Drosophila melanogaster: one gene and its partner. The protein of the gene in region 2 purifies or fractionates together with the protein of the main gene of each other region. This does not show direct contact. Each region holds a gene or a part of one and is shown on either strand. Other genes may lie near its edges.

Region 1 (9,364 bases), on a different chromosome or scaffold from region 2:
GCGATTTCGAACGGACGAAGTGCTGGTCAGCTGGCGGGATGACTAATCACCACAAGAACTTATTTCTGTGCATCGTTTGTTTATTAAATAACTAGTGTCCATAATAACTTCATATTTGTAAAATGCATGTGTTTAGGATGTGAACGAATTAACCCACTTAAAGGGCCTGTTCCTTGCCCGTCCACTGGGGCTTAATTTCCAAAGGGTAAACGCGCTTACCCTCGATGACATAGACAGCTCCGTTCTTGTCCTTCTCCAGGACATTCAGAATGCATCGAGAGACATCAGCGGCACTCTGCTTGTTTAGCCTATCCAGGATCCTATAGGTCTCGTCACTCGTTTCCGGGAAGATGATCTTCTCCGTAAAGTTGGTGAACATGTCCGTCATTGTAGCTCCAGGACAAACAGTCACAAACTTGATGCCCGAGCGTTGATAGTACTTTTCGTTCTAATTAAGAAAGAGACTTAAATGAAAAACCTAATTCAAAAGATATGTAAGAAATTCTTGTTACCGCCAAGCACCGGGTGAAGTTGATGATGCCAGCCTTGGTGGCTCCGTAAACGGGAATGATGAACATTGGATCCAGACCCACCACCGAGCTCATGTTAACCACAATGCCACCCTTGCCGCCATTATCCTTGCCCATGTAGGGCAATGCACTCAGTGTGGAATTGATGATTCCACCGAGATTTACCAACAGAGTCCTCTGCACATCCTTGTCGTTAAAAATCCCGGCTACATTGACCACAATATCGATGTTACCGAAGGTCTTGGCTATCTCCTCATAGGTGGCTTCCACACCCTTCTTGTTCGCCACATCCATCTTGATGATCATTACGCTTTGGGTGGGATGAGCGGCCCTAAGTTTTACAAACTCCTCCAGATTATCCTGCAAATCAATGATGGCCACCTTCTAGGAAGCACTCGCTTTAGAAATTACTTCACGTAATTATGTGTAAAACAACCAACCGCTGCTCCAGCGGCCAGGAGCTGCTTGGACACCTGCAGTCCAATGCCTCCAGCTCCACCGGTCACCACTGCATTCTTGCCGCGAAAGGACATCTTGGTCTGGCTGATTCGTGTAGTAGTCGGTGGTATTCCTTGTGGCTTCATCAAGCACTGAGCTCCTCAGTTGCACTGCTGACTTGGAGCTGTAATGTTCGCCGCTTTTATACCTATTTCCCAAGGGCTATATGATATATCGTTGAGTGACTTTGGTTCGACTGCAATCAATAGCTAGTTTTCCACCTGCTCTGGGTTAGGATTATGCAACTTATGCCCATATATCAATTTCCATCCCCATCTGGTCGCTGTAGCGTTCAGTCTGCTTCACACCGCTCCGGTTTTTCGATGTCAGCTTTGCATCAGTGATAATGTCATTGTGTAGATAAAGCAATGATCTCTTAATAACTATCTTCCAGTGAAATCTTTGCTTTTAAGAAGGTACACATGTTGGGCATTTTTCAAAGATCTTACAATTAAATGTATATTTCGATTTACAAAACCATCTTAATTGCTTTAAAATTTTGGTTTTTTAAATTGTATTTCCTCCCAATACAAATTTTAGCAATGCAAATATTTTAAAGTGTATTTATTCAAGCAAAATTCTTGTGAAAACATAACATATATCTACATATGTATGTCGTATATCTTTGGTTTCCATATGTGATATTTAAATTTCTTTCACAAATTGTAATATTAAAAGTTTATCTGTTATCTTAAGACTACCAAACATGGGTTTGATTGCCATGAAATGTATATAAATTTGATTTGGATTTACTTTTGAACTCTTTTTGGGCCGCTTCAAAATTTTACGTATCAAAGGACAAAGAAGGATAAACAAAGTAAAGGAACTCAAAAATTATAATCAAAAATATAAGTTTATTTGTAAGCACTTAAATTATCACAAACTTATTATATACACAAAGATAAATTAGATTGGGAGACATTAACTAGGGAAACACAAAAGTTAGAAATACAGATTTATGAGAGGGTGAAAAACGGTGGTTACCCCATCTAGTGGGCATTGTCGTAGGTGTCCTTGTGCTGGTAGCCACTCACATATCCGGATCCATCGACCACGTTCCGTCTGCCCGCGATACCCTTGCCCTTTCCGGAGGCATCGAAACGCTCCTTGTGGGAACCGGTGTACTTGCTCGTATCCGTCAATCGATCCACGGCAGCTGCGGCTTTTCCAGCCTAAAAATGGTAACAAAATGTTGATTAGGTTTTCAATAAAGGCATAAAGTATATGGTTATGACTTTCAAAGGTTTAAAAAGATATTTTTTAAGAACTTCTGTAAGAAAACTACTTTAACAATTGATAGTTTAAATGAGTCAAAAAAAAATCATTTAAATTTTGTCATATCTAAATGGTCTTCTCGAAGTTCTTTACACTTTAAAATCAATCTTAATCATTTGACTTATATAGATCATATTTTTCACAACCAATTTATCAAACCCACCGAAACGGACACAACTCCTGGAGCTCCACAACTGGCCAACTTTTGCTTGATCTCCGACAGCTCCACCTTTTTCGTCTTGGCCAGATCGTCCAGGAATTTGTTGTAGTCGCTGAGCGAGATCTTCATGGCCTTGAACTTCTTGAAGTGGATGCCTGTATCCGTGGTGGTGATCTTCTTGTCGATAACTTTGGCCTGTTTCATCCACTTGTCACTCTGCGACAGCGTTATCAGCTTGCCATCGGACTTGGAGTCCCCGAACTTGGAGAAGGCCTTGAACTGATCCGAAAAGCTAACCTTGGGCTCATCCTCCAGCGCCAATTGGGCCAACTCGGTAGCGGGCACCTCAGGAGTTGGCGCTGGGGAGGGGCTTCCATTTGCTGCAGCTACCTCGGACATGGTGGATCTGAAAAATATATTTAATATTATATATATTTTTTTAACCTTTACTGAACCCTACAGGTGTTTTAATAGATGCCCAGTAATAAATAAACAACTACGGACAAAGAACCTTCAATTTTACAGATGGACTGAGGATCATTTATTATTAATAATATGCCTAGCCTGATAGGTCATTGTTTTGTTTAACATTTTGTAGTGGTTTCTTCCAACACGCAACTTTTCCGCTCCTGCGTAATCGGTTGACTACGGTTGTCACCTACGCAGTTCCTCACCTGTGGGCCACAACGCTCACCAACATTGCGGTGGGTCTTGTCCGTCACTGTCAACTATCTACATATGTAGGTGCTATTCCCAGACGTATCTTTGCGAACACCTTATCAGTACTTTACTCACTTCGCTTTCGCAATGATATCACAACCCATGCTGAACTGGACAAAGGCAAAGCTATACCCACCCAAAGCTAGGCCAAAGCTCTCTCAGCTAGATTTCGAGAGATGGAAATCTAAAGGCAAATTGGGAGAGACTCAATCATTAGATGGCGTCATCGGTTTGGGTCCCCCATCTCCCAACGCAGCTAATTATCGCCTTTTGGCAAACCCAAATACACAAAACAAATAGTCAACAGGTTTGGCTCACATGGGTTACTCTATGGGGGTCAGAACTTAGCGCTAGCTTGCTAGATCTTTTATGATTAGTCTCTAGCATGCAGTTATCATGGGTTTTAATAATCCTAAGGCGATATTAGGTATTTACGGTACAGCTATACAGTTATAGATATACCCTAAAATTATTAAAATGAATCACTTTTACGCTTATTAAAATAACAAAAAGAGCAATAAATATTTTACGCATCGCCAGAAATTCCTCGCTTAATTTGTTACCCACCGAACGTGGCATAAATTTGGATGATAATTTAGTTTTAAAATTGCTTGTAGCATAAATTGTCCTCTTGTTTACAGGCTACCCAACACGAAGTCGAATCCTCAGACCCATCCCCATCATTCCATAAACAGTAAATAAAACGTGAGCATTTATTGGCGGAGCCATTAATTACGCACCACTTAAGGTTGCAAGTTGGAGCCCCAGGAGAGATGGAAGCCGTTTGGGCAAGCATTTAATGCGGCGATAAGATGCGACTGCAACCAGTTTGGAGTCCTCTATCCGTGAGATATGATGCCACGGCTTGTGCCCGCACAGATGCGAATCGAAATCGAAGTGGACGGGCGGGGTAGAATCACCATGACCTTGATGCAGCCCGTCGAGCATGTCAAATACTATTTTACCACCCCCTAGCCCCATTCGCAATCCAAATCGAAAAATGAGTGCTTATGTCATCGCCTCATTACGCCGGCTCTTGATTACGCTGTTCTGGGATCAGCTTTGAATAGCTCTGGGGTGAGGCAATTTAATAGCCCATATTCCCCAGATAATCCATCGAAATGATCTATGTAAACTGAGTGGTTAATTGGGAACATTGCATGCATAGCAAGTCTGCCGGTCATTAATCATCTTATTGGTCTCAAGACCAGGGCCATTGAACTTGAACTCCGCTCAAGACGATACAAATTATCCGGTCCCAGTTCCCGGACAAGACTAATGGAACCCTTTACTCCGCCCCTACATGTAATTGGAAGCCATAAATACTCGGAAACAAGAAAAGTTGACAAACTACACCACAAAAGAAGTTGGAATATGCAAGAAGAGTTTTAAGATGGCAAAAAACAAGAGGCTATCGACTAGGAAATTACCTGTAAAATCAAAACTAATAAGAAATATCTTTAGGTTATCTATGGTGGCTTTCAAAATGCTTTTTTTCACAATAGAATTCATTTTGTAATATTAGTAAAATCAATCTTTTTTAACTACCATCAGCCAATGCAAATAGTTCGGATTGTTAGATCCAATTTTCTACACTAAGATTGACGTTATTAGTTTGATTTTTAATAGAAGCCCGATTGCTAATAATTTTCTGAAAGGTTTTACAAAAATCTAAATATTATAATTATTCGAGGGAAATACTAACAGTTTAAGATGATCGTAATCAATTTAAAAAGCGGAAGTATTAAATCATCGCAATCGACAATGGAAAGACTCATCCTATGATACCCTGATCAGACTTGGATACTATATTCACACAAAATAAATTATTTTCTTAATATTCTTTGGCAACTCAAAGTGCAGATACCCCTCGTGAAATGAATGGCAGAAAATCAGGCAGTCTGATGGGGAGCGTGGATAGTCTAAATCAGAAATAATCCGCTTGCTTGTCAGACCATAAATAATTCGATTCTTCTCATTTCCCATCTCTGTTTTGGATTCTTTCTCTGTATTTTCGATTTGGAGAACAAGTTCTCATCCAGCTCCAGTCGAGCATTGCGAATTCGTTGCCAACATTTTAATTAGTTTTCTACCAAAATGGTAAAAGTTAATTGGGCAATATATATGACATATGACCACAATTTGAATAGGAATATGAATGAATATTATAGATAGCCATTTTCGAAAAGAATGGACTTCCTGGAGAGGGGAACGCAATTATAAACCCAACCTACCTCAAGTGGACCGCTGGAAAGCGAATGGAGGAAGCGAAATTTGGGTCATCTCGATGTATATTTATAAAACAAACGACTTTGGGGGGAGAAACATGAAATACTGCACCACATATGAGTTTACGTGTGTTAATAAACACACAGAAATATTAGCACCTCGGACTGAATGCATAAATTAAAGAGAACTTTTATTTTGGGGGGAACAAAACAGGAAGTCATGGGCATTCTGATAGAGCACGCAACGCAATAGAGAAATCATTGACTTAGGAGGGGGACTTATGCTCGGGACATAATATGTGTATGAAATGTGTAGCTACATCACCACTAGCCCAGATGACATCACTGGGAGCTGGGAAACGCGCAAGCGCCAGTTTGGAGAAGGGGTTTCCTGGGGGGTCTCGGTACTGGAATTTCAGACTGATGATTCAAATGCACGCATATATACACACGGAAGCGGGGAAAATGCGCCTAAATCAGGACCTCCCAAAGGAAATCGAAAACAATGGTGCTCCCCAGGAACAAAAGAAAAGGGGAACGCGATGCGCGGTAAGTGGGTCAAAATCTGCTCTTGAAAATATGAACCTGCTACTCATAAAATGAATAAAAAAAATATCCTTGGCTCGGAGTCTGCTTATAGATGCAGGATACAGTAACATTTTAAAAAAAAAAATAAATCCAACGAACTAGATTATTTTTCTCGAAACGTTTCCAACTTACATTTGTTATTAAAAAAGTTCCAAAAATTCTTGAATATATTTCCAAAAAAATATTTGTTTTATTCCTCGGCTATTTTCCAATCACTTTAAGGCAAACGCGCGAATGCTGGCGATGTCGAAACTCAACTGTTTGGACAAATGCGCAGCCAGTGGCTAGCGAAGGCCCAAGCGGCGTATGAGTGATATTTTTGTTTTGAGTGAGCTTTCGCTGAGTGAAATAGAAACTCAAAAAGGAAAATCCTCCTTAGCATTTTATCCAAAGAAAAGATGGCAAATCGTTGGTGAGCTAACATAAATTCCAAAACTTTCTGAATGAGATAAGGAAAACGATTTGGATCTTATAGACACTTTTACTGACCCCCCAATTTTTTTTCAAGCGATGACTTCATTTCGCAAAATTTTATACACGAAAACTAACAACGAAAGCCACACGACGAAGCCATTTATCAGAAAGAAAAAGAAACAAACGAGACCTAAAAACAACTCAGAATAACAAAAGTGACGCTACACACCAGAATCTTATCAAACCAACAAGTTACACTCAAAATTTTGGTTTGTTGTGAGTGAAATTCTAGGGAATAAAGCTTAAAGCTTTTCCTGATTTTATATTGTCTAAAGAGAAGGGGAGGGGTTCGCCACACAGTCTGAGCTACTAAAACAGTGAGTTTGTAGTCAGTAAATTTGTTTAAGCGCAAAAAAACAAAAAACGATGCGTGAAATTGTTGGGCAAAAAACACACACAACAAGTGCCAGACAATTCGAATAATGAAGGGTGTATCTTTTGGGCTTACTTAGACGTGTTTTTGGGGTGTGACTTGGGCTATACTAACCAGTGAGCTCATGCTTAGCTATGCAAATGAGTACTTATTTCAAGCGGTTAAGATTTGTCGACCGCCTTACTAGGTAAATGGGTTCTTTGAACTTTTCTATTTTGGACATTCAGGAAAAAGTAAAAGTCAAATAGGAAATCATAAGGAAATTACTTCGCACTCCATAAAATGATTAAACACATACTGAAACAACAAGCCCGTCCTAAACCCAAAACAAACCCTAAACGAACGAAAAAAAAACCTTTGACATTGATTTATGAGAACTGACGGTCGGAAGAATTTGGTAAGTTTTTGTGGCCAACTCGATGAAGTCATAGCCCTGGCCCAAAACCAAAATACAAAGCAACTGAAAGACTAACTTGGAAAACGAAATACCCTGAGGAGACTTCTAATTAATTTCGTAAATTAAGCATTAGGTATTACAAACAGAGGTCCATTGATTATTATTATTTAATATACAATGTTTGATATGTAATTTAAATATTTCATTCTACAATATTCATTTAGTTTATTGACCAGATGACGTTTAGAATATTCTTTAATTAAAATTAGAAAGAGTTAAATTTCCTATATTTATGGAATGTTTTACAGCTGAAATACCTTTTAGACTGATTCGTTTGCTCTTTTTTTCTAGGACATAAAATCAAAGTACTCCCAGTCCTGAAAAATGAAAAACATGATTCTTGCCACCTGGCCTATCTTAAGTGCACCTTTAATTAGCCACGAAGGCAGTTCAAAGAACCAATGGTGGTACACAAATCAGGGCACAGTCCACTCGAGACAGAACAAAGGGAGTGAACCAAGTGGACCGGACTATATTGCCAATCCAACTTCAATTCCAGGCCAGAACTAACCAGCTCATTAAGCCAGGCTGGAATGGTTGTAGAGAATTGGGCTTTGATTGAAACTGAGTGCCAACGGGGCTAACATTAAAACGCACTTATCAGCCGAGCCGTCAAGGCCAATCCAATGTGGTTCTTGCAGTTGCTCCTCCTCCTCCTCCTAATCGGGAGCGAAGTTTAAGCACCAGAGATCTGAGGCATCCGATAAGCCCGCTGCTAAAAATAAAAATGACCAGCGAAGGAGGAACAGGAGATACCAATGCAGCTGCAGTGCATCAGAGGCGGATGGGAAACATATTCTTAGGGGGTTTTCTTAGTGTCCGGTTGAAATAAGTATATATCTTCAGTGTATACTATAAGGTGTCTAAAAATTCACATTATATTATTTATTTAGCGGACTTAACGATTTAATTAACCCTTTTCTGTGTCATATTTGTAAGCTCTTCGCATAAAACATATATTTCTTATGTACATACATATGTATCTAACCAAGTATTATAATTTTTAAGGGTACTTATGACCCCCCTAAGACCCCCATTTTGTTCGCCACTGGAGTGCATGACTCCCGTGTCCAAGCTGTGGCCAAATGTGGCCCTTGGCCTTCACTCACCTTGAGATGCCGTTGTTGTCGTCGTCGGTTGTTGCCACAGTTGTTGCATTTGCTGTTGCAGTTGAAGTTGCTGTTGTTGTCGTGGCCCCGTTGCAGTGTGCGAACAAAAAGGAGGCTGAGATGCCACAATGCTGTGGCAGCAACAACGATTGCATATCAATTACACGCTGGTCTGGATGCGGTCTTTGGCCTTGATGGTCCACCCAGCCAAGGCCCTTGGCTCGCTTGCAGATCCAGATGCAGATGCAGATGGAGATGCCAGGCAGCGATTGCTCCTCCCGCTGCGGAGAACCAGGGTCTGCCTCCCTCATTTGGGCCCACTCCAGCCTTGGCCACAATTAAACCAAATTGACAACGCCTTCACGAGGCGTCGATCCCCAAAAGGGGAGTGAAAGGCGGAGCTGCAATGTCCGTTAACGACACAAGTGGACACGACGACGCATTCGCATCTCCTCGTTTGCATTGAAGTGCATCTGATGGATACATTTGGAGAAAAAATTAATTGGCTGTTTACTATTTTAAAATGTGACAGATATTATTACTATTAGGTTATTCTTTAATGAAATACGTGTGCTTGTACAAATTTGATGAATTCTATTTAAGTACAATAAACCACCTTTTTTATCAATAATAAAATATTTTTTTAATGATTGTCATAATCATAAAATTAAAATTTCAGGAATTTAAGAACAGTCTTTTTTAGCAATATTATTATTTATATGCATTTAAATTTATGTTTTAAGCTTTGTACAAATCATTATTAAACAAATTACGAACTACTTATTTTTGGATTTAATTTAAGTCATAAAAATCACGTTACTATATTAGGGTAAAAGAGCATAAAACATTTGTATACTCTCTTAGATAATAATATGGCATACTTTTAGAATTTTTTCGCAGTGTATCAGAATAGAAGCATCTGACCGGCAGGAACCTCAGCCAGAACCAGAAC
Region 2 (5,173 bases):
GGTGGATTCTTATTCATATGAATATAGTTTAGCGAGCCTCAACTGGCAAATACCGGTGCTCGCAATCAGGACAACGACATCCTTTGTGGAGCTCTAGGAGATTTCGAAGTGGCTCATTATCGCATGGCTCATATAGTACTTTGCCCTCTTTGGATTCCTGACCCTCGTATGCTGACTCCGGCGGACACTCTTTCTGAATACAAATCGGTTTTTCAACGTTCGATTTATCTATCTTGCATTTACGGAACTTTCGGATCTGGACATCAACGAATGGCTTATACGACTCGTACAGTTTTGGTACGGTAAAAATAAACAAGTGTCCTATAAAGAAAAATTATTTCAATTTAATGTAACTTTATAGATAAAGTAAAGTAAGACAACATATGCACATACCAAATATAAGCAAAGTCAATCCGTTGAAGCAATCGCCCAGCAAATTGATGCCGCAGAGCAAAACTAGGAACTTCAAGGAATCCTCCCACTTTTCCACCAGCAACAATTCTATCATACGGTTTAAAATTAAATTAATATGGGAAACTGCTTTCCCGGCCAGATAAAGAGTCTCCTCCCGGGGGATTTCTATCTTCGGGTGAGGATAGAAACGTAAGATCTGATCTTTGTTCTCATCCTTCTTCCAGATACTCCAGAACTGTACCAAAAGGCGATGGCCAATAGCTGCTATGAGAACTGTGATCCCTACCATGCTTATCACACTGATCACCGAGTGGACCATCACATCCAGCAGGAGGAGCAGGATGCCCGTGAAGACGATCAAAGTCTTTCGGCTATTGCGCCATAACAACAGGTTCTTCAGATCCATAAATATTTGGCTGGAGTCCTTAGCCTTTATCAAAGTATCGGTACTCATATTTTCGAATGTCTTTAGAGCACGTTCGGATGCTGGTTGTGAGATCAGAGCAAATAATGTTTTAAGTTTTCACAGCTGACTAATATTTCAAAGGTCAACCGAATAGACAAACTAAAATGATTTCAAATTGTCAGGTCGGAATGTATTTCGATTCACCACAATGTTTGTGTCTTGCTTCAATTCAGTTCACAGTTAAATTTGAAAAGTTTCTCGACATTGTATTTCTCAAAATGAAGAAAGCGAAGATATTCTAAAAAATATTTTTTTAAATTTTACTACATTTACCTAGCTAATACCGAATGCTTTGCGCACATTATTCATCCTTTTTTTTTAGCTAACTAGCGGGTTTAAATAGTAGTTTTTACTTACGCATCTTCAGAAAATCTTCAATTGTATGAAAATATGAATAATACACAAAATAGTAGCAGATTCCAAAAAATGTTAGCCTTTTGACACGAATAGCACAGACTGGTCCCAATATAAAGAAATACATCTGTGGATTATTTCAAAGCATACTCATTTCGCGCGCAATTAATCGATAAGTGCGCAAAATGGATCGATAACTGCGCAGTACTGTACTGCTCTCGGAAATTACTGCCTTAAAAATATACCAAGCGGGTCAAAAGAGTTCGTTGTGTTTACGGACGGGTTGCTCCATTCTTTAAAAATATATGAACATAAAAAAATTACTTACTTCTTTTATCTCTATTTCAATTTATTTTGTTCACTATGACCTACTGACTTAATGCAAAAATGCACTATTCGGTTTACATACTTTGTTCATTTTGGTAAATAGTAATAGTAGATGTTCTAAACACATGTAAAATTACTTAAACGGAACATTAGTAATTTGACGCTCTCTTGAAATAGGCATTATTAATTGTGTTAATATGCAGTTCACTTATACAAGGCATTGGTATTATTGAACTGTTTGGTATCTTTAAATTTCCCACCGGCGGTCACACTTAATCTACTGAACAAGCGTGCTTGTGCTAAATAATTTTACTGATCTTTAAATCTCGTAAATACCGCCATTTAGCCGCATCTGAACACTCTTGCCGATGGTAATCAATTATTGGCCAAGAGCTAGCAATGTTGTGTAAAAATCAGCGTGAAACTAAAGCCGAATTCAAACAAACAAACCAAAAAGCGGCCTGACAGGGTTTTTCGTGCCCCCAGAGCAAAATCGATTGGTAAAAGAAACGCGTTTCGTATAATATAGATAGTTATCTAATATCTAATCTAATATCTGAGTTGTTGTGAAGCCCTTTTTCGTAAAACAGAGCTACTGGCGATTTACGTCTGTTCGAAATCCATTCCCGGGCATTCCAACGTATACGCCCGCAGAGTCAGACCCCAAAATCCGTAGGCTTACACTTTTTCCGTTGATTTTCCGTAGTCGCGTGTGAGAAACCGAAACTCGAAACAAGAAACCCGGAATCGGAAACCCCATTAAAAATCAATATGCGCGAATGTATCTCTATCCACGTGGGCCAGGCCGGAGTCCAGATTGGAAATGCCTGCTGGGAGCTCTATTGCCTGGAGCACGGCATCCAGCCCGATGGCCAGATGCCCTCCGACAAGACCGTAGGCGGAGGTGATGACTCGTTTAACACCTTCTTCAGCGAGACTGGAGCTGGCAAGCACGTGCCTCGCGCCGTGTTCGTGGATCTGGAGCCCACTGTGGTCGACGAGGTCCGTACTGGAACCTACCGTCAGCTGTTCCACCCCGAGCAACTGATCACCGGTAAGGAGGATGCGGCCAACAACTACGCCCGTGGCCACTACACCATTGGCAAGGAGATCGTCGACCTGGTGCTGGACAGGATCCGCAAGCTGGCCGATCAATGCACCGGTCTGCAGGGCTTCCTCATCTTCCACTCGTTCGGTGGAGGTACCGGCTCCGGCTTCACCTCGCTGCTGATGGAGCGTCTCTCCGTGGACTACGGCAAGAAGTCCAAGCTGGAGTTCGCCGTGTACCCAGCTCCGCAGGTGTCCACCGCCGTGGTGGAGCCCTACAACTCCATCCTAACCACGCACACCACCCTCGAGCACTCCGACTGCGCCTTTATGGTGGACAACGAGGCCATCTACGACATCTGTCGCCGAAACCTGGACATCGAACGACCCACTTACACTAACCTGAATCGTTTAATCGGCCAAATAGTGTCCTCGATCACCGCCTCTCTGCGATTCGATGGAGCCCTAAATGTGGACCTCACCGAGTTCCAGACCAACCTGGTTCCTTACCCCCGCATCCACTTCCCGCTGGTGACGTACGCTCCCGTCATCTCCGCCGAGAAGGCCTACCACGAGCAGCTGTCGGTGGCCGAGATCACCAACGCCTGCTTCGAGCCAGCCAACCAGATGGTCAAGGTGGATCCCCGTCACGGCAAGTACATGGCCTGCTGCATGCTGTATCGCGGCGATGTGGTGCCCAAGGACGTGAACGCCGCCATCGCCACCATCAAGACAAAGCGTACCATTCAGTTCGTGGACTGGTGCCCCACCGGCTTCAAGGTGGGCATCAACTACCAGCCACCCACTGTCGTCCCAGGCGGGGATCTGGCCAAGGTGCAGCGTGCCGTGTGCATGTTGTCCAATACCACGGCTATTGCCGAGGCCTGGGCCCGTCTGGACCACAAGTTCGATCTGATGTACGCCAAGAGGGCCTTCGTCCACTGGTATGTTGGTGAGGGCATGGAGGAGGGCGAGTTCTCCGAGGCCCGTGAGGATCTGGCTGCCCTCGAGAAGGACTACGAGGAGGTCGGCATGGATTCCGGTGACGGTGAGGGCGAGGGTGCTGAGGAGTACTAGAGCGGATAGGTGTGCATCCCTCAAAATCTTGCTTATTTTCATACGCTCCCACTCGCATGTATAAATTTTCTGCGATAATGTATAGCGAACAAAGAAGAAAATAAAAACCCAAGAAAACACCAATTTATTAACCACGTTTAGTAAAAGGCACGAGAAAGTTAGTACTTTAAAATTAACTTTAATTTTATATATGACCAAAAGTCATGCATTAAAAAGTTGTTCACGTGGGGTACATCTGTATATTATTAATTTGCTTCATTTTTATTTTGTTGGTTGGTTAATGTCCTCTATTAACATAGGTTATTTATAATTTAACAGTCCACAGGAAACCGAACATCATAAAGGTGTCTTATCTAGGATTTCAACACCTGTATACAGTAAGATTAGAGAACGCTCTACCTGGCTAAACGGTAAGGTTTTACCAGGCTAGAAACTAAAACTAGAAATCCACGTATGCAAGTCGATGGATCCAGCTTTCCATATCATTCTCCAATCATCTAGGGTGTCCAAATAATATAAAGTTTTTCTTTGCTGCATAGAATTCAGCCAATAAAATTGAACAGAGATCTATCCATATTTTCATTCATTTCTATTTACTAAGCGAAGATTCATAAAAAAAAAAACCAATAGAAATAAATTTCCAGCCTTAATAATTCTTGAGATCTCGCTAGTGATCCTAATGAAGACAAATTTATATCCTCAATAGAGTTTGATTTAGATTTTTCGACGTGTAGCGAGAATAATTATTTCTTCTTTAAGAGGTATAAGGATATAAAAGCAAAATTTAAAATTCCGAATTCCTAAAGACATGCAATTTCATATTTCCTGTTAAAAATGATAAAGGAAATCTTACCAAGGTAAGATCGATTCACCTAGGTATACAAAACAATTTATTTAGAAACATATGCGTGAAAACGTTTATTTAAATCCGTTGGCATTAGTTCGCAAATTTCCAGGCACTTAATAAAATCCTGTGGGCCAGGTTACAATCATGTATCGTTAGCAGTGTTCTGACGGCAGTGCGTGTCGTCTGTCAATTAAATGTCAATTAAAGTAAAACATAAAACTCTTGGGACCTTGCTACCTGCTGGATAAAAACGTTGTCTGAGCGTTGGGTTCCGAGATGGTATTTAATATACCCATTCCCAATATCATAGAGGTAATAGCTGGTAAGTCCTAATCCTTCACATGGCCAGACAGCCAAACATGGGTAATCGACTCGGCCTTGTAATCCCGGGCAGGAAAATACATACATTATAGGGCCAAAAAGTATCCTTCTACCTGATACTCGAAATTACTTTTGCATACATTGTATAAAGTCTTACCATAATTATACCATTATAAATAATATGAAAATTGAAATATTTATTAAAATTGTGGGCGGAATGCCTTTTTTAATTGATTGAGCTCTTTTAGTTCCCTATATCCCGATGTTTAAAGGAAGAGGACATCGACAAGATCGATTTGGCTAGGAATTCTGATCACAAA

Evidence for each region. Proteins that work in one complex are often made in the same cells at the same time.
Region 1: the proteins of alphaTub84D (region 2) and ringer purify together in Drosophila melanogaster (affinity purification with western blotting, with the first as the bait; one study listed by BioGRID). This does not show direct contact.

The regions. Positions count from the first base shown.
Region 1 is NT_037436.4:16,353,168-16,362,531, forward strand, and holds ringer (ringmaker), read right to left. Parts: upstream 6,262-9,364; 5' UTR 6,132-6,261; intron 3,282-6,131; exon of another isoform or gene 3,138-3,281; intron 3,025-3,137; exon of another isoform or gene 2,924-3,024; intron 2,870-2,923; 5' UTR 2,863-2,869; coding exon 2,467-2,862; intron 2,201-2,466; coding exon 2,018-2,200; 3' UTR 1,579-2,017; downstream 1-1,578. Other genes in the region: Tcs3 (Threonyl-carbamoyl synthesis 3), read left to right, coding at 1-46; Pdh (photoreceptor dehydrogenase), read right to left, coding at 158-448, 513-914, 971-1,114.
Region 2 is NT_033777.3:7,528,927-7,534,099, forward strand, and holds alphaTub84D (alpha-Tubulin at 84D), read left to right. Parts: upstream 1-1,826; 5' UTR 1,827-2,332; coding exon 2,333-3,685; 3' UTR 3,686-3,806; downstream 3,807-5,173. Other genes in the region: Rtnl2, read right to left, coding at 29-321, 394-868. UniProt on the Drosophila melanogaster protein: Tubulin is the major constituent of microtubules, a cylinder consisting of laterally associated linear protofilaments composed of alpha- and beta-tubulin heterodimers.